Linked DNA regions of Drosophila melanogaster. The protein of the gene in region 2 interacts with the protein of the main gene of each other region in a pairwise test. Each region holds a gene or a part of one and is shown on either strand. Other genes may lie near its edges. The genes, in order: CG15093 and CG18128.

The links.
Region 1: the proteins of CG18128 (region 2) and CG15093 interact in a two-hybrid assay, tested with the Drosophila melanogaster proteins (one large-scale study listed by BioGRID).

Annotation. Positions count from the first base shown.
Region 1 is NT_033778.4:18,771,254-18,780,865, forward strand, and holds CG15093 (uncharacterized protein), read right to left. Parts: upstream 5,726-9,612; 5' UTR 5,572-5,725; coding exon 4,597-5,571; 3' UTR 4,416-4,596; downstream 1-4,415. Other genes in the region: Mctp (multiple C2 domain and transmembrane region protein), read left to right, coding at 487-638, 702-1,217, 1,286-1,645, 1,705-1,824, 1,882-2,082, 2,145-2,352, 2,410-2,490.
Region 2 is NT_033778.4:23,715,663-23,725,099, forward strand, and holds CG18128 (uncharacterized protein), read right to left. Parts: upstream 4,275-9,437; 5' UTR 4,184-4,274; coding exon 3,164-4,183; 3' UTR 3,136-3,163; downstream 1-3,135. Other genes in the region: CG46429 (uncharacterized protein), read left to right, coding at 6,611-6,772; Sesn (sestrin), read left to right, coding at 7,163-7,213.

The DNA.
Region 1 (9,612 bases), 4.9 Mb from region 2:
TCTTTTTAGTGCAAAAACTAATTAAATGAGTAATGCTGATCCGTATCAATTATTAAATGCTTTCTGTAATGTGATACCTATTACTCTGTATTAGCAGACATGTGTAAAGGTGACTCATAATGATATGTAAGAGCAATTATCTCTAGTCCGGCATACCTCGTAATATTGCACTTAGTGTATGTATGTACATATTTCTCTCGCAATCGCAAGACCTCACTCCCAAATGGTTTTAGTCACCGTTGGAGCTTCGAAAGCGAAGTGCGGCTTTTGGGTTTTGTATTGGGGCCTGTGTAATTTGCTGTCTGCATTAGTTGGGGCTCTCGAGCGCGGATCATGTTGGGCAACAGTTGGCCCGGTTGCAAGCGGGCTCCTCGCATGGTGCTCAAACATGTGAGGCGGCAGCACGAGGAGTTGCGGGAGCAGCTGGAGCAGGGATGCGACGATCTCATGGAGGTGGCCGAGTCTTATTTTCCGGATGTCTTGCAGCATTTCCAGCGCAACTCGAAACTGGCTGAGTCATCGAAGCGATTGAAGTCACAGATCTGGAGCTCAGTGGTTACCATATTGCTGGTTAAAGCCAAGGATTTGCCCTTAGCTGAAGATGGCAGCAAGCTGAATGATACTCACTTCAAATTCAGGTAAGTTGATAACTATTAACTGGTAGTGATATCATAAAGGTAATTGATTACTATTGATTTCAGATTGGGCAATGAGAAGTACAAGAGCAAGTCTTCCTGGACGGAACGCTGGCTGGAGCAGTTCGACTTGCACCTGTTTGATGAAGATCAAAACCTGGAGATCGCACTTTGGAACCGGAACACCCTCTATGGCAAAGCCATTATTGACCTCAGCGTTTTTCAGCGCGAAAACACGCATGGCATTTGGAAACCTCTGGAAGATTGCCCTGGTGAGGTCCACCTTATGCTCACTATAAGTGGAACCACTGCCTTGGAGACGATCAGCGATCTGAAGGCCTTCAAGGAGGATCCTCGAGAGGCTCAATTGCTAAGGGAAAGATATAAATTCCTAAGATGCCTCCAAAACCTCCGCGATGTGGGTCACCTAACTGTAAAGGTCTTTGGAGCCACTGGACTGGCTGCAGCGGATATAGGTGGAAAATCCGATCCTTTTTGTGTATTGGAACTGGGTAACGCCCGACTGCAAACCCAAACTGAGTATAAAACACTCACTCCTAATTGGAATAAGATATTTACTTTGTAAGTAAAGCTAACCTACTTTTAAATGCTATATATTGCTAAAAAAAATTATTTAATTCGCTTTGTAGCAATGTTAAAGACATCACGCAGGTCCTGGAGATCACCGTTTTCGATGAGGATCGCGACCATCGCGTAGAGTTCCTGGGCAAGCTAGTCATTCCCCTCCTAAGGATCAAAAGTGGAGTCAAGCGATGGTATACGCTGAAGGACAAGAATCTCTGTGTGCGGGCCAAAGGAAACTCACCGCAAATTCAGCTGGAACTGACGGTAGTCTGGAGCGAGATCCGTGCCGTGTGTCGAGCCCTGCAGCCCAAGGAGGAAAAGCTCATCCAGCAGGAGGCCAAGTTCAAGCGACAGCTCTTCCTGCGCAACGTCAATAGACTCAAGGAGATAATCATGGATATCCTAGATGCAGCGCGCTATGTCCAGTGAGTGTATAGGGTTCCAATTACAATTTCTTTATAATTCACTGCCTGTTTTTTTAAAGGAGCTGTTTCGAGTGGGAATCTCCTGTGCGATCCAGCATAGCTTTCGTCTTTTGGATAGTCGCCTGTGTCTACGGCGATCTGGAGACAGTACCTCTAGTTCTACTGCTCATCATACTTAAGTAAGTAATTAAGTAAGAGATTCAGAGAGATCCAAATACTCAACAATTTTAATTTAGAAACTGGCTGGTTCGCCTTATAACGGGCACCACAGATGCAGCTGCTCACTACGACTATGAGTACGATGAAGATGATGATGATGACAAGGAGAAGGAGGAAAAGAAGTCCATCAAGGAGAGATTACAGGCCATTCAAGAAGTCTCCCAAACGGTACAGAATACCATCGGCTACCTGGCTTCTTTAGGCGAGAGCACCATTAAGTAAACTTTATTGTTATTTATGAGATGCATCACAGTCTATATGAACACTTTGTAATCACCAGCACATTCAACTTTTCCGTCCCCGAACTGACCTGGCTGGCTGTGGTTTTGCTATTGGGCGCCATTCTGGTCTTGCATTTTGTCCCGCTCCGCTGGCTGCTGCTCTTTTGGGGCCTGATGAAGTTCTCCAGACGTTTGCTGAGACCCAATACCATTCCCAACAACGAGCTATTGGACTTCCTCTCGCGAGTGCCAGATAATGAGGAGATTGTAAGTGGTCTTTTAACTAGCTGCATTTGCTATAAATAATAATAATATTTATTGCAGAATCAATATCGAGAGCTGCCACCATCGGCACCCACCGATCAGACGCGCAACAATCCCAAGAAGAAACTGAAAGGATCATAGTCCATAACCAGCGCTGATGCGGCAATGGCGTCCCTTTCGCCGCTGCAGTCCAGCGCACTAGGAGGAGCAGCAGGAGGAAGCGGATCGGGATCCGGATACGGCGGAAGGCAGCAGCAGTTGATGCAGCGCTTCCGGGCCAACACCAGCCAGTTGAAGCACAAGTTTGGCCAGGCCAAGAGCCTCAGTCTGAGCCATAGCGAATTCAATTAGACACCAAAGTTAGTTAGCTAGTTAAGAATCGAAGTCAACCAGTTCCACCCATAGAAGGAAACAACACACGCAATTCACCTTGACTCAATTATGCAGCACAAAATTGCTTTACTTATTTTAATATAATTATATATATATATATACACAGAAAATGAGAATATTAATGTAAATGTGCGCAGAACTCAAACTATTTACACAAAGCGATTATGTACATACACAATGATAGCGGATATAAATAGGAATCTATTGAAACATTGCATGTACCTAAGGTAACCTCTCTCAAAGATCTATTCGAATATTTACCAAAACTCAAATTGCTAACTACCAGATTCCTTTTTGCGCGAATCCAAATGCGATTAATTATTTATTGTGTATTTCAATTTGTGATATTTTCAAAGAATTTTGCAACTAGGCTTACTACTTAATGTGACTTAAACCACGGAAGCTCCGTACCGCACAGAAGTTTCCCCCAAACTCCATTTACAATTTACCACTCGATTGCACTCGACTCGTTTAAGGACGCTTTTTCATTATATACCTTTACATATATACCTAATTAAGCCTTATCCTAACCAAATTGATTGTAATTATTTCACTCGGAAAGATTGTTCAAAACATTTTCTAAAACATATAATTATTAACTTTGTCTAGGATAATCAGCTCTTAAAAGGCCCCGGCCCAGCTATACAAATAAATATAAATTAATTTCTATGTAACCCACTCCGATTGATCGATTTGATACATTTTAGATAGTTGAACTATTTTATACCCCACAAAAAGAGCAACAACAAAGTTTTTATATACATACATACCAACTCAATTAATTAATTAGCACCTAAGTTAAGTTTGTTATTTTTAAATATATATATATATATGATTGTAAAAATAAAAATATTTTTGGATTTCGCTCAAAATATGTCGCTTTGAAAAATACATTGACCACTGTGCGGAGTGATGCTAAAACTGTAGAGCTGTAACTGTCTGGGTTCTATGCAGATTCTACAGTTGCCACAAAACAGTTGTTTGTTTTGCTCGGTCCTCTGTTTACTTGCCAATTAAGCTTTCTGTGGCAGAAAATTATTAGAAGATAAAAGCTGGGATGTGTGAGTGTCGAACTAGCCACTTAAATAAACACCCCTCTTTGATATGGCTTATCAGAGTGGTTCCACTACTTATCTCTACGTTTTATAAAACGAATCCCCATTTTTTCGGTAAACAAATATTAATATTTAAACATAGTTACTAAAGCTGTGAGAATTTAATATGCAAATCCTTATATCTATATATGTTTTCTTATTAGATTGTACCCATCTCAAAAAGTATGTCAACAAAGAGCCATTCAAACTGTAAGTTTTAGTGCTACCCACATAAAATTACTTTGCGAAACATTCCGCCAGTGCTTCTCAATCCGTGAGCTTTTGATAACCACGCCATAATTTCCATTGGGATCTTTCAATGTTGTTTGTTTTGCTCGACTCTATGCTCTGTTTACCTGGCAAGCTTTATGAATTAAAAACGATCTCCATGTGGAATCTAATGCCACGAGTGCTGGAGATAACCCCTAATCAGGAATTGTATTTGCAGGGGTCTCATAAGTGGCAATAAAATATAGCAACCCAGATGCTTTTTTGTAGGTGCTTATCAGCACTCGGAGTTCCGTTCGTCAGACGATTCCCAGACCTAATCAGACCAGCCCCACGATTACGCAACAGCATGGAACTTTTTCACTCAATACGATACGTCTTTAATATATGTACGTATTATTTGCATAGAACAGGGAACAGTCACAATAGAAATCGAAATAGAGGGAACTTAGTGCTATATTTAAATGCAGGACTGGTTTGGATGTGGACATGACGTGGTTGTGGCCACCACAACCTGTAGTCTGTGAGTAACCTAAACGCTGAACTTCTCCTTCTTCATCAGGTCGTACACCACGGAGAAGTCCTTGTTGCCCAGACCCTTATCGCACAGCGACTGGTAGACCTTGTGCGCCAGAGATCCCAGCGGGATGGGTGAGTTGGAAGCGTTGGCCACTCCGGAGGCCAGACCCAGATCCTTGGTGATCAGAGCCGAGGAGAAACCGCCGGCGTAGTCCCTGTTGGCTGGGGCACTGGGGCAGACTCCGGGCACAGGGTTGTAGATCTCCGAGGCCCAGCAGCGTCCGGTGGAGGAGTTGATGATCTCGGCGAAGACATTGGCATCGAGACCCTGGCGCACCGCCAGATTCATGGCCTCCGAAACACCGATCATCGAGATGGCCAGCATCATGTTGTTGCACAGCTTGGCGGCCTGGCCCATGCCATAGACGCCGCAGTGGGTGATCTTCTTGCCCATGCACTCTAGGACGGCCTTGACGGCATTGTACTCCGCCTCGGTGCCGCCCACCATGAAGGTGAGGGTGGCCTGCTCGGCGCCGGGAACTCCGCCGGAAACGGGGGCATCGATAAACCGAGCTCCCTTGGCGCTGATCTTCTTCTGCAACGACTTGACCAAATCCGGCGAGATCGTCGACGAGTCAATGAAGATGGTGTCCTTGTTGACGCCATCGGCAGTCATCTCATCGTAGGAGGCATCCACAATGGCATTGTTCGGCAGCATGGTGATCACAAAGTCCGAGTTCTTGGCCAGCTCCGAGGTCTTGGCGTAGACGGTGGCTCCCTTGGCGGCCAGACCATCGCAGGCGGGCTTGGAGATATCGAAGACATGCAGCTTGTGGCCGGCCTTGATTAGATTGCTGGCCATGTTGGCACCCATGTTGCCCAGACCCACGAAGCCGATGTTCTTGGCTCCGCCCTGGGTGGACATGGCCCTCACGAGGGTCTGGCTCCAGGCATTCAGCATAGCGGGGGACATCACACGGAGCGACATGTCTGCGAAAAGTTCTACAGTGTTATGTAATCACTTCAAATAGGCAACTAGCCACCAGATTTCACCCACCTGTTGGTGTAAGAAATCTAAGGGGATACGGCTGAAACTGCAAAAGTTCTACGTGATCGGACCGCTGTCAGAAGCACACTGCTCCCTGCTGTTGGAAGGTCGCTTATTTTCAGCTCATTCCAGCGGCCGCTCGAGGGTTGTCGGCTACACTAATTAATATTAATTAATTAATACATTGAATTAATATAGTAAAACCATTTCCAAACAAATCTTTATATCTATTAATTATTTATTTATTTATTTGGAAAAGTTCGATATGTTAAACAATAAGTAATAATATTAACTTTTTATATATTTTAAAAATCTTTAAAAAACTTAAATATATATCAATATATATAATATAATAATATAATAAAATATAATATATAATTCTTCTGAAGTCGCGACAACTCTGCTAGATCAAAACAAGTTCTCAACAAGTAGCTCTGCTAGCTATCAACCATATGGTTAGCACATTATACATATATTTTATCTTGAGTTCCAGTGACGCCGGCAAAAGCTTTTCAGCTCTGGTCTTTCCAATGCTTTTATTTGATTTATGTTATATGTGAGCGACACGTGCCGCTGGTTTCGCTTATCAATCTGGGCAAAACTTTCGATTTTATTTACTTTCATTGACCTTCGGCGTATGTGGGGGCTTGTGTGTGTGTTTGACGGGGGGTGTATAGAAATTTGTGGGTGTGTCGGTTTGACGTTGAGTGCCCAGACCAGAGGCTCCAAAACTGTAAGCTTTTACGCTGGTTGTGCAGTTTCAATTCAAGTGAAAATTAAAGTAAAGCATCTAGAACGATTGAATTTATTAAACTTAAAAAACTAAAACATAATTTATCCCTTCGAAGCAATCTTCATTCGATGCCTCTTTCCTCAACTGAATGAATGAATGAAGGGCAACATGCGAATGGCTTCAATTGCGTGAAATATCGTGCATAACTAAATTCACACGAGCAATTTCCAAACTGATGTTTCATTTTACACTCACTTCAAGGGCTTATTTCGCTTCACAAACAGAGATACCAGTGATACCTTAATCTACCATAATTTTATAGCCTAATAACTGAAAAGACCTTAGACCTTGAAAGACCCAACTTAATGGGTAATCATTTTAAGCTGCATTGTAAAAGGTATGACCATTGTAAAAATTAGTTAAAACAAAATTAATTAATTAGTGCTTGTATTTATTCGGTGAACAGGGAAGTACATATACATTTTGTTGTACAATTTGTAAGTGTATCTGAGGATCGTTATTGTATACCCAAGACTTTATAATGTTTTTATTTTTGCAACTTTCTTGCGCTAGGGCTTTGCCAATACTTGATCCCACAATAAACAATTTGATGTTTCGCGATTTTGTTTTCTTGTGCTATTTTTATCACTGCTTTCCGAACCTCAATTGGCGCAGATAGTTTTTTTTTTCGCCCAAATTGTACAATGGTCATAAGGTTTCGATGCTGTTGCTGAAGTTGTTGTTGTTGTTTTTTTTTTAATGTTGGTGCTCGCATAAAAATCGGCATGCATGAAATTGCAACTGCTCGAGCTGCGTTTCGCAAAATCTCGTCCAATTTACGGCCCGCCTGTCGTGGCTCCGATCTTACGCAATCCCACGGACCTCGTTGTCAGCCAACTGAGTTATGCTTATCAAAAGAAAACAGAAACAACTGAAATAAAGTATGTATATTGGCTATATTTTCGACATAACCACTTCTATGAATGATTTTCAGAAATATTATTTGAATAAGGGTGGCAGTAAATAGCCATATCGCAGATGTAACTATGTATAAATGTGTATTGGATATCACCGTTCTCTGTGTTCGCACTGATGATGATGATTTTTTGGTGATTTATCTATGTCAGCGCGTCTGCAGCATCCGTCGATCGCCTAAGTGCATTTCAATTTGGGGAGTGGAGCGGATCGAGATCGCGACAATGGCGCAAAAATCACATCGAATGGGGGACATCGGCTGCCCAGCAGCGCTCGCTTATATAATCGCTTGTCAATTGTCAAAATAGCGGCAAGACCCTTATCTAACGCCATAAAGTGCAATTCAGCGAATGATTAACACGAATATGGGCCGAAACAACAGCAAATACAGGTGAGAGCGCGTCTCTTTGAAACAATTTACAATTTACAAGTAAAAGTGAAAAAAAAATAATATTAAAAAGCCAAAGGCGCCAAAGAAGCCACAAGCGAAGTGAAGCATTAAAGCGCAAAACTACAAGCTTCAAGTGGACCATTTGGGCTTGGCTTTGGAAAATGTTCATGTTCATGGCATTTGTACACACTCTTATGCGTATATCGTACATCAAGTATACGCAGCGGTGTGCCAAGCTCATTAGGCAGACATTATAACATTTCTTCGCTGCGGTCGCACACCAACGTTTGCCGCTACTAATTTCCATGTCAAACATAGGCAGACAGCGAAATTTCACTCATCGTCAACAGCGCGCACCCACAAATCACTAATCACAAAACACAGAAAACAGAAAAGAGCGTGCACTTGAATTGAATCACATTGCGATTGAATTTTATTCGCCCGCAAACATTGCGTTATAAGCAATCATTACAGTGGAGGAGCATAGGAATGTCCTACAGGCGGGAAAAAAATATAATAGATTTTATGTATGTATATATATTTAACGATACAACTTTACATAATTGATTGCTGGGGGTATGTAAGTCCTCATCATTAATTCCCTAATCATAACTTTAAAATAACATTTTGATTTATAGATTTCAAAGTGTTTCTATTCTCCCTCGTGTCTTAAGTTTTCTTATTCATGAACATTCATTTTGTATCTTGTATCTGCGAATCGGACTGTATCTCGCCTGGATCTGGTTTCTTGACCCGTCTTCAGCCGGCTGCACGCAATTTGATGAATGCGACAGGTCGCAACAATCTGCATGCCACCGCGTAGATCCGTGAGTCAGCGAGGAACACATTACCATGTAATTTGCCAGCCAACGGTTGTGACATCGTGAGCGACTACTGACATTTTTCATTCAGCCTGTCTTCGATTTCGTTTCCGGCCAGCACGTAATTGAAATTACATTAAGCCAGAAATTTTGGCAGTGAAATTGCGTTCGATAATCACTTTCATGGGATTTAATTGTTTCCCTGTGCTAGACGTCACTGCTGGACTTTCGCTCTGCTCTGCTCTCGATCGAATGTATGTACGTTCGGACCTACATTAACATGCCAACTGAAGAGACCACTCCAAAACGATATGAAAATGAAAAACTAACTGAAAACACACACACTCACACTCACACACGCCCAATGCGGAAAATTGAAATGCAGTTGGAGTCACTGCAGCAAGTTTGGGAAAGGAAAGTGAAATTATCATCCCCCCGCAGCCACAGCCACAATCCAACTCAACTCAATTCGATTCAATTCATTTTCGATTTCATTCGGCTTGAGTTTTTGAATCGTTTCTAAGGTTCGCGCTTTTTAATACGCCGCATGCATAATTATTATGTGTTCGCATATGTATCTCCGCACTTAGTTACCAATTGCCGACACCCTGGCCTACAGTCTATAGTTTAGTGAAATTGAAAATCATTTTTGAAAGTGGTCAAATTATTCGCTACCCGACAAAACACACATTCCATGCGACCGTTTAGAGCGAATGTGTTTTTCTGTTTGTCGTAATTTTTCATCGCGATGTTGTTTGTGCTTGGGTTATATTTTCCATCTTTTTTGCTTTTTTGGTCACCGTATTACAAAATTTTAATTGCAGTTGGCAGAGTGAACCAAAAAAAAAACAACAATCCAGTTGAGGAAAGAGAAATGCGGAGAATGAATGCTCTTCGAATTGCTTGGGAGCATATGAACTCTGAAATGTATAAAAAAGATTTATTATCCTCAAGAAAAACGGTAATTAATTTATGATCGACAAGCGCAACACTTGAAAATGCACATTACCAATTAAAAGAGACCGTCTAAAAACAAGGAAAACTAAACCCGTACATAATGA
Region 2 (9,437 bases):
GAGGGCATTTGTTCACTTTGCTGGCTGCGTTTGTTTACGGTTTCCATTACCCGCTTCTCGCGGCTTCAGCTTTTTCCAGTTCTATTTCGAGTTGGCCATCCACTAATTAGGCAGCTTGTCGGGCAGCATTCGAGTTAAATGTTCGGCACTGCAAATGACATGGTCCTTGCGGCCATACACACGATACTATCCATTGTTACACTCGTACAATACATGCGGTGAAACAATCAAGTACGCCGACATGGGCGTAATTCGCAGACAAACAAGAAGAACGAAAACGAACTGAGCCTGCGAATTAAGGCCCCTGCTCGGCAATGAATTCTCTTCGCCATGCCAGGCCATCGGCCATCCCGGCGTATACGTAATGCTACGGGCCGAAAAGAATTGAGGAATGGCTGGCAGTTAATGCCAATTATGATAAACGGTTGCTATGTAGCCGTCGCACACAGATACTCTACACACTGGCGCGCGCCACACAGATACTCACGCAGATACAGATACTCATGCACTCGCACTCGCACAACTGTTGCTCGCGATGTTGTTGATGTCTTTTAGTTGTTGCCAGGCGCATTAAGATTGCCGCTTGTGCTTGTGTGTGTGTTTATGTGTGTTGAGTGATTGGGTGTACGAGTGTGTGATGGGAAATCACTTGAACCATCGGCTGAGAGGGCAATTGATATGTGCTTCCATCAATGTTGCAATCAGTTAAGCGGCTTTCGAGCGCCAGAAACAACTGAATCGGTCTGTAAACTCAATCGAATTCGTCCTTTTGCGACAAAAACAACAGTCATGGTCCTTCCAATGACCTGCGGCCACTACCATTATTAATTCGATCAGCTGTACGCTTCGCAGATTCCAGTAATTCGATAAAAGTTTATTTAAGCACTTATTTGAACAGATTCAAATAAGTAAATTGAAAGTTTAGTACATTATTTCATGTTTAATGCGGATAGTTTAAAAGTTGTGTTGTTTGTTGTATCCGCGAATGCTGCTTTAATCATAGTCATTTCTATGGGCGCAAGACGAGGTGACTGAACTCGCAACAGCAACTGCAGCAGCCACTACAACTGCAGCAAGTGCAGCAGCAACACAATTGCAACTGCAGTCTGTTAAGCTTGCTTGCCGTTAATTTGTGCAATCTTCTACTTTTACCTACTTATTACAAGTAGTCACAAACAAAACTGAGTATTTTCCATGCCGTTTTCCCATGCTTCAGATTCAAGGGTATTTACGCATGTTCTTCAGCTAACTGCAAGCATAATCCAAGTGGGAAACTTTCTGACTTACCCATAATTGTAAAGACTTAATTAAAAGAGTTTCAATAACTAATCAAATGGATTTCCCTCACAGCGCACATAACTCACCATCCATATCAGTATATCAGTAGCCTAATAAATGGCGATTGGCCCGACTTAAGTCAAGTGAATATATAAAAAATCTAATCGCCAAATATTGTTTATGGTGGTCAAGTACGATTAGAAGTTCTTTGGAAAAGCCATAGCAACTGCCAAATTCAGATTTCTATTCATTTACTGCCGCTGCTCTGCAAATTGTGTGCGAATATTTGTGGATTTCTGTATGTAAGTGGGCAAATTGCATTACAACCGAATAATAATTACAATGCAAAAGTAATTTTGTGTGCGAAATTCTAATTCCCCATGCAGCCGAATAATTGGGGTTGGATTTATCTATCAAGAAACTAATGGAATCACATTAGTTTTAAATACAACTTTGCTTCAACTTAGCTTAAATTAATGGTATGGATATTTCATCAGTTGGCATTATAATTAGCCCGTGGCATTATAATTAGCATAATATCAGCACTCCTATCGGCATCTGCCTGCCATTTGGATTGCGTCAGCCGAAGATCGGAATTAGATCCTTGTTGACAATTGAGTTGCCAAAATAGCGGGCAGATGTTGCACCCAGGGCAATTGAAATGCCAGAATGTGTTTGTATCTTTGCATCTTTCTATCTGGTGATGCAGATCTGCATCTGCGAGTCAGCTGACACCGTTACTCACGCACTCATGGCACCCAAAATAAAACTGTGCATAATGTCAGTGCACTGAACTGGCCGCATGAATCGCAGTCAGAACTGCAATTCGGTGGCAAGTTGCAATCAATATGAGTTTATGCAGCGGGGTCAACGAACTGGCCGCTGAAAACTCATTAGCGTAGTGCCGCAGGCCCAAATCTCAGTCGGGGAAATCGGTCGAAATCGGTCGAAATCGGACGAAATCGGACGAGATCGGACGAGAAACCGGGGGAAATCGGCGAAAAATCGGTGCAGGCCGGGGAAAATGTAGCTTTCTAGCCGCATGATCGCACAGCTGAAAACAGCTGAAAGCAAAGCGACGAGCGCGAATAGCAAATTGCAAGGCAAACAGCTCGTGGCGGTCGCCATAGCCCACATATACATACCCCCACTACATACATATGTACATGCATGCATATATGCACTTGTATCTGAACAATCAGCGTCAATAAGCAGCGCAATCGCCGTTCGTCATCGCGCTGCTACTGCAGCTGCCGCACAATGGCGAATAATAAAATTAGCCACAATGACGAACAAAGAAGCGCTGGCAGTGCAAGTTTGTAATGGCCATTACAAAACAGGCTAATCTGCGGGAAGTTGGCTCGCAGGGAGCCTCGTCCACTGTCACTGGCCAACAGAGGAGGGCATTTAGCGACGTTCTGATAACGCGGACTCGTAAGCCTCTTAGCCGATTAATTGATACATTACTCTACTATGCCAAGTAGACGTGCAACAGAGTAGCTCGGCTTTCTATGCCGTCTAATTGCCATTAAATGTACTTTACAGCTGGCCCGAGCCCGAGCATTGGACAATTACGTATACGGCCCGTGTGCACTCTGCACTCTCTACTTTTGATGGCTGGCCATTTGGGGCGTCCATTAGACAGAGTGACACCGGGCACACTCGCACCTCACAACTCACACCTCACACCTCACACTTCCCACTTGGCCATCTCAGATCACACATTTTGAAACCTCCCCCCTAGGCGACAACTCTTCGCCGAGAAGATTGCGCCAACAGCTGCACCTGTGGCTATTTCCGCGTTGGCAGCACCACTGGCCGCACCGAAAATAGGAATCCGAACAGAAGAAGTCGGATGGGGCTTCGAGAAGTCTATTTTCGATCGTCAGATCTCGAGGTGCATGCAGTACATAAGTCGGCCGATCAGATCGGAGCAGGCCTGCAGTCTTGGGAGGGGGACAGGCTCCTGGGAATCCTGCTCTCGCTTATCCTGCTTGGAGTCCCTGTCAGTGTCCTTCTCCTTGTCCTTATCGCTCTCCTCGCTCTCCTTGTCGCTGGCCGCCCTGCTGATAACCACAAAGGCGAGCACCTTCAGGCCGCCGTGGTGGGCGGCTATAACCTCGGGCACCAGGGACATGCCCACGGCACTGACCTCCATTGTCCGCAGCATTCGCTCCTCGGCCACAGTGCCGAGAATGGGACCTCCCATGCAGGCTAAGACGCCGCTGTGCAGGAACTTCTGGATGCCCATTCGCTTGCCAATCTCGAGTGCCTTCTCCAGCAGGTCCTTGTCATATGCGTTCACCATCGAGAATCGGCGGCTGCCAAAGCGCGGATCACTGGGACCCTCTAGCGGCGTCTGGTGCATCATGCCCACCACATTGATGTGGTCCTGGACAAGCATTATGTCGCCCAGGGCGAATCCGTGATCTACGGCCGCTGCTTCAGAGGTCAGCATGATGGTCCTGACCCCGCACAACTGCATCACGCGGACGGGCAGCGCACAGGTGGCCAGGTTGTAGCCGTCGCAGGAGTGGAAACTGTGGACCAGCGCTATTATGGGCGCTCCCATGACCGTGCCCAAGACGAAGCTGCAGTCCGGCTCTATGCCGTCGGGGAAGTTGGGTATGTCCTCGTAGGGAATGACCACCGGCTGCTCCACCAAGCTGACCATATCGCTCAGGAAGCTGCCGCAGATTAGTCCGTACTTTGGCCTGATGTGGCTAACGTTCACGATGTACTTGGCCATGGCCTCGACTTCCTCGAAGGGGTAGAAGAGGCTCTGGGGCGTCGGGATGACCAGCTTGGGCTTCCGGCGTTCCTCCTCCTCCATCTGCAGAAGCTTCCTGGCCGCCATTCGCTTGGCAATCGGCGACCTGGACTTGCAGCAGTCGTAGTTGCACATTTTGAGTAGGATGGGTCGCCAAATGGGTGCGAAACTTCACCAATTTTCGAATTTTTTGGAAAATACTCAAAAGATGACTTTTAGGGCATAGCTTAGGGCTGTTTGTGTGTGAGAGGCTTAAATAAGAATTAAACCATGTATTGACGGCAGAAATAAATCAACGATTTATTAAGTCCGCGGAAAACAGGAGGTGTGACTCGAATCGAATGACGCTAAAAACAAAAAGCCAGGGTCTGGTCGAAAAACAAAACCACAAAAGCGCGCCATGACGTCTGGTTAAAATTGGCTGATGAATTCCGAAATCCAGCTGTTCACAAAGTTCGTTTCCAAAAGCGAGGGCCAAAAACTGCATTAAATCATAAAACAACAGTTTTCCGAAAAGGGGGCATTTTTTGTTTGTTTTTCCCTAGTTAACAAAACAAATGAAAAAACTTTGGAACATCCAAGCTAACTCTAATCAGTTACATGCAATATGTAGAAGCGTGGAGCGCTTTTCTCTTTTATTTTCCCTAGTTTTCACTTTCCAAAGTTCAATCGGAGTCTTTAAGCTCAAACAGACAGTGCGAAATAGATTTAATTATCAGCGTCGACGGTGCCACGCCCATGCTGCCGCCGCTGTGGGCGGGGAAGATGCTGTTTACCATGTTTACCATACGTATACGTGATAATAACGCTCATACGCATGGCGGCACATAGGCAACGCCCCGGCCGTTGTTTACTTGTTGTGTGTTTGTGTGTTGTGGATGCCGTTCAATGTCACCACACGCCAGAGTTCGTTTACAGCATCGCATCCATGGCACAGCTAGCGATTGGAGTGCTGGTGTGAGTGGATAAATTAAATACGTCCATTCGGAGATTCGGAACTGGCGGTAAACTAGACACTCAAGACTACACTGAGATGAATCGGGGTGCTGTAAGTGGCATCTCATTCTAGCGATCCTATCATTGCAATGCAGTTAAGAAGAAGAAAACATTAAAAAGTGCACACAGTGTACTTACTCCTTCTCTGTGTGAAAAATGAAAGAAAGTGCGCCCTTTATTCTGCCAGTGCATCGCCTGTCTGGAGTGTGCTGGTGTAGACTGGACCAGGCCGAGGCTTGGCTCAATACTTTCGCTAATTAGTTGGGCCAACCAGCGAAAAGCAGCTACATTGTCTCGGCCATGTTTACCATGACCACCTCTGTCAACGAATCCACTGGCCAGCTGTTCGAAGTCGATTCGTGCGACTTGGCGGGATTCGGATGGGTATGGGGTTTGGGATTGGGATTGGGGAATCGGCGAAGCGTTTAGTATGCTCGTGACGTGGTCGATAATAAAAAATTATTAATAGGAAACTTTGTAGCGCTGTTTATGTTATTCGAGTGCGCGCCAAATGGCTTGGGTTACAAAAGCAGCCTTTGTCGCCGATTGTTTTTCCCGATTTGTGGGCTATTTGCTATTTTGTTATTCCAGTGCAGCCGCCTACAATGTCAGAGTCACGTTTGTGTGATTCGCCTTGCTGGCTACGGTGACGATGACGAGGCTTCGATGCGGGGCCAAAAACCGCAAGAGATCATCCGGGCCTGTAACTCTATCATCTGTTTTCCATTTGTTTGTTTACTTCCCCGACTTTGTATCCGTATCTGTATCTGTATCTGTAAATGTATCTGAACCTGAATTTGAATCTGTATCTGAGAATCTGAGTCCAAATGTGTGTGTATCTGAATGCCTTGTTTCGGCTTGTTGTGCCCATTGTTAGGCTTGTTTCTTTGTAGCCCCCATATCTTTGCCCACTTTCGGTTGGCTATTTGTTTGTCACTTTGCGCCAGCCTGCCAAAAATGCCCTGTTTGCAGTTGATATTAATTTCGGTTTCACATTCACCCGCCGCTCCATTATTGTTTTTTGTTTTTCACATTCTTTTATTATTATTATTTTTTTTCGAAATCTCACCTTGCCCCAGGAAGAGGAGCGAACCCGTTTCGGCCATTCCCAGTGCTCAGTTATCCAGTTGCCCAGTTGCCCAGTTGCCAGTTCCGAGTTCCCAACTCGCAGCTCCCAGTTTGTTTACCAACTTTTGTGCTGCGTTTTGCTTTGTGACCGTTGTTTGCCTTTTATTTTTGGCATTGCGCGATTTTACGCTGTCTGTGCAGGCCCGCTAAATACACGGCAGTAGAGCCAACAAGAAATGCTCAAACAAAACCAAAACCCAAACCGAAAAAGCTGAAAAAAAGAAAGCGACGAAAAGTGAATATTTTGACTGGCATTTGAATGCTAATTGAAGGCGGCGGAGAACCGCAAACGAGTTGTTGCTGTGGGAAGCGAGCTTGGGCTTTGTGAAGCTGTGTGATATGGTAATTAATGAAGATCGTTTCTCTCATCCGCAGCTAGCAACATCTGAGGAGCACAAGCACGTGCAGAGTGGAAGGGTCGCCAGCTCAAAACGACAAATGAAAACCAAAAACCAGACCAACATCATCTGCTCCAACTGCCAATGCTTTAGCCACTCGAATCGGGGAATAGCCATCACCGACGAGAAGAACGTCCTGCGGATCCAGAGCTACACCTACAAGTGCTTGAACCACAATCCGCGACCTCGGATATTCCGCTGATAGTGATAGTGGACTCTGGCTGCAGAGAGAAGAAGACCCTAGCCTGACCACACCAGACCAGCATCGCAATCAGAAGCAGCAGTTTAAGAAAATCTGGTTTGGCTCCAGCTCCAGCTCCAGCGATCCAATCCGCTCTGATACGATACGATACGATACGATTCGATTCGGTACTATACGATCCGCGGACGAGCCTCCTGCTTTGGTGCATTTCCAGTTTGGCGGCTGCTCCACTTTCGTGGCTCCATAAACAAAGAGCCGGGCGAAAACTGGTTATTTTCTCACTGCGATCGAAGCTGCAGCTACCAACTGCAATCGACTGCGACCTCTGATTCCGAATCCGAGCACACGTCGCATCCACATCCAACTCGACTCGATCCCTCCGCCAGACTCATGTACTACGCCGTCGATTACTACGCGGATATGGGACAAATCTCTCAAGATGTAAGTTCATGTGGTTTAGATGTAAGTAGTTATCCTATCCAACTCTTTCTGGGAAAGATTAGCAGAGTGTCTCCATCAAATTCAGAGCCGAGTGTTTGGTTTTCTAACCCAAATGGCGCTTAGTTGAGTTAAAGCTTATGTTAACCACATATCGCAGCATTATTAAGCGAATTTGTGATTAACTCAAGCTCGTGCACTTAGAACCTGATTGACAGCATATTATGTTTCAAGTGGCAACTGTTGAATGATATGATGTGATTATTAAACTGAGATTTTAATCAACAACGATGCCAACGAGACTCGGTGCGTAATATTTTTGCCTGGTCAGTCAAAAATGATTTTCACTCTATACGTACGCTGAAATGTAATACGTGCTTTTGTGTTTTCGAATGGCGCACATTTTCCACAGCTTCGTAATTAACTTTTGCCAGAGTAGGAAAACTTAAAACCGCAGTGCAAATATGAAGGGATGTTATTTGAAAAATGCGTGCTTTTGTTTGAAATTCTTTTTGCAGACATGCTGATAAAATTATAAAAATGGGAAATGCAGGAAATGTGGAAAATGCAGGGAAAACAACAATCAGTTGCTGGGAATGTGAGTAGGTGGTAGGTAGGTTGGTAACCGAAGTGAGTTGCCAACTTTATAATGCGCAGTGAGTGTGCAGAAAGGACTGGGCACTTTTTGCGAAAGACCCCATCGATAAGAACTGATAAGCCTGCGATATTTCTCACATGGATCTGTGTGTAGACATAGACCCGGTAGAGCTATGAAATAGATAACGCCAAGCTGGCGACTCTGGCACTTTGTTTTCATGGCGAACTCGATTGCCGAACTAGGTCAGCTAATCAGCGAAATAGATGCAAATGTCGAGTAATTGCGACTCGGAATGAATTCAATTAGAGTAGCTGAAAAGTGAACAAACCGCTTGATTAGCCGCGAAAACAATGCGTATTAGCAACTACATATTTGAAGTTAATCAAGAGCAAGAGTTAAGCCCATCAAAGGAAGCCATAGGATCTCTTTGTGGCCTTTAAAGGTCGAACAACCTGCTGGCTGGGACTGCACTTTAATCAGGCACTGCACTGCACTGGTGAATCAAAGTGGAAATAATAATAATAATAATAATAATTTCAATTATCATGCCCGATACTCAATGACAGCGAACGTAAACAGCCCGCGGCCATCAGCCATCTGCGCCACGACAGGAATTTTATTTACGCAATGAAAATATAAATTGTATAAAAATACACAATTTGTGGTGTGCGCGGGTGTTGGGGGGAGGGCCAAGTGGGTGGGTGTGGGTGTGGGTGTGGGTGTGGGTGGTGCTTGGGCCAGTCACTCAGCTAGCACCCGAATATCAGAACAAACAGATGTGCGCCATTCGCACGCTGGCAGTAGTCCAAAAAGGCTTTCGCCTCGTTCCGAGTGGCAAAGGGGCGACTTGATTGAGCTGATTGAGTGATTGACTGGCTGGGCGAGTGATTGAGATTGAGATCGCGCACGAATGCAGCAATGCACTTTGATGATATTCCCCTGTGGCCCAATTCCACAGCCGGAAGTTGGAATCAAAAACCACGGCCTTTAGCCTTAAAAGTTATGTCAACTTTATATCGAATTTAAAGCTAATTTAATATATTTGCTAGATAGTATTTTGCACATAAATCGCTGGCACGAGTCTATAAATGTCCGCAAACTATTCGCTAAAATTAGGCATTTAAATTTAGAGTTCTGAGAATTTTAGGCTTTTGTTTGCGAGTTCATTCACCCATGGTACATATATTAGCTGAACAATCTGTGCGTTTCGCATTCCTTGCAATATTGTTCAAAGGGTTTCCCATCGCAGGGCGTTATCTCTTGGAGTCGGGCAACTATACCATATAAATTAATTGGCACAAAGACACAATGCGCAGACAAACAGACACACAGAGCTCATAATTTGTCATGATTGTTTGCCATTTGCCATTTGCCGCTTAGCAGTTGGCCGTGTTGTTGCACTTTATCAGCAGACAAAGTGTCGCTTCGAGTGCCAGACAGCTTTTATTTTTTTATTTTTTACTTAGCTACCCGAGGTTGGAATAACACGTACCGCCGCCTCCCACGCGAACCGAGAAAAACACACGCACAAGCGATTTAAGTACACACTTATGTACATACATATATGTATGTGTACTAAGGTGGGATATCCAGGGATATCTTATCCATATATCTTATATCTATGCCAGC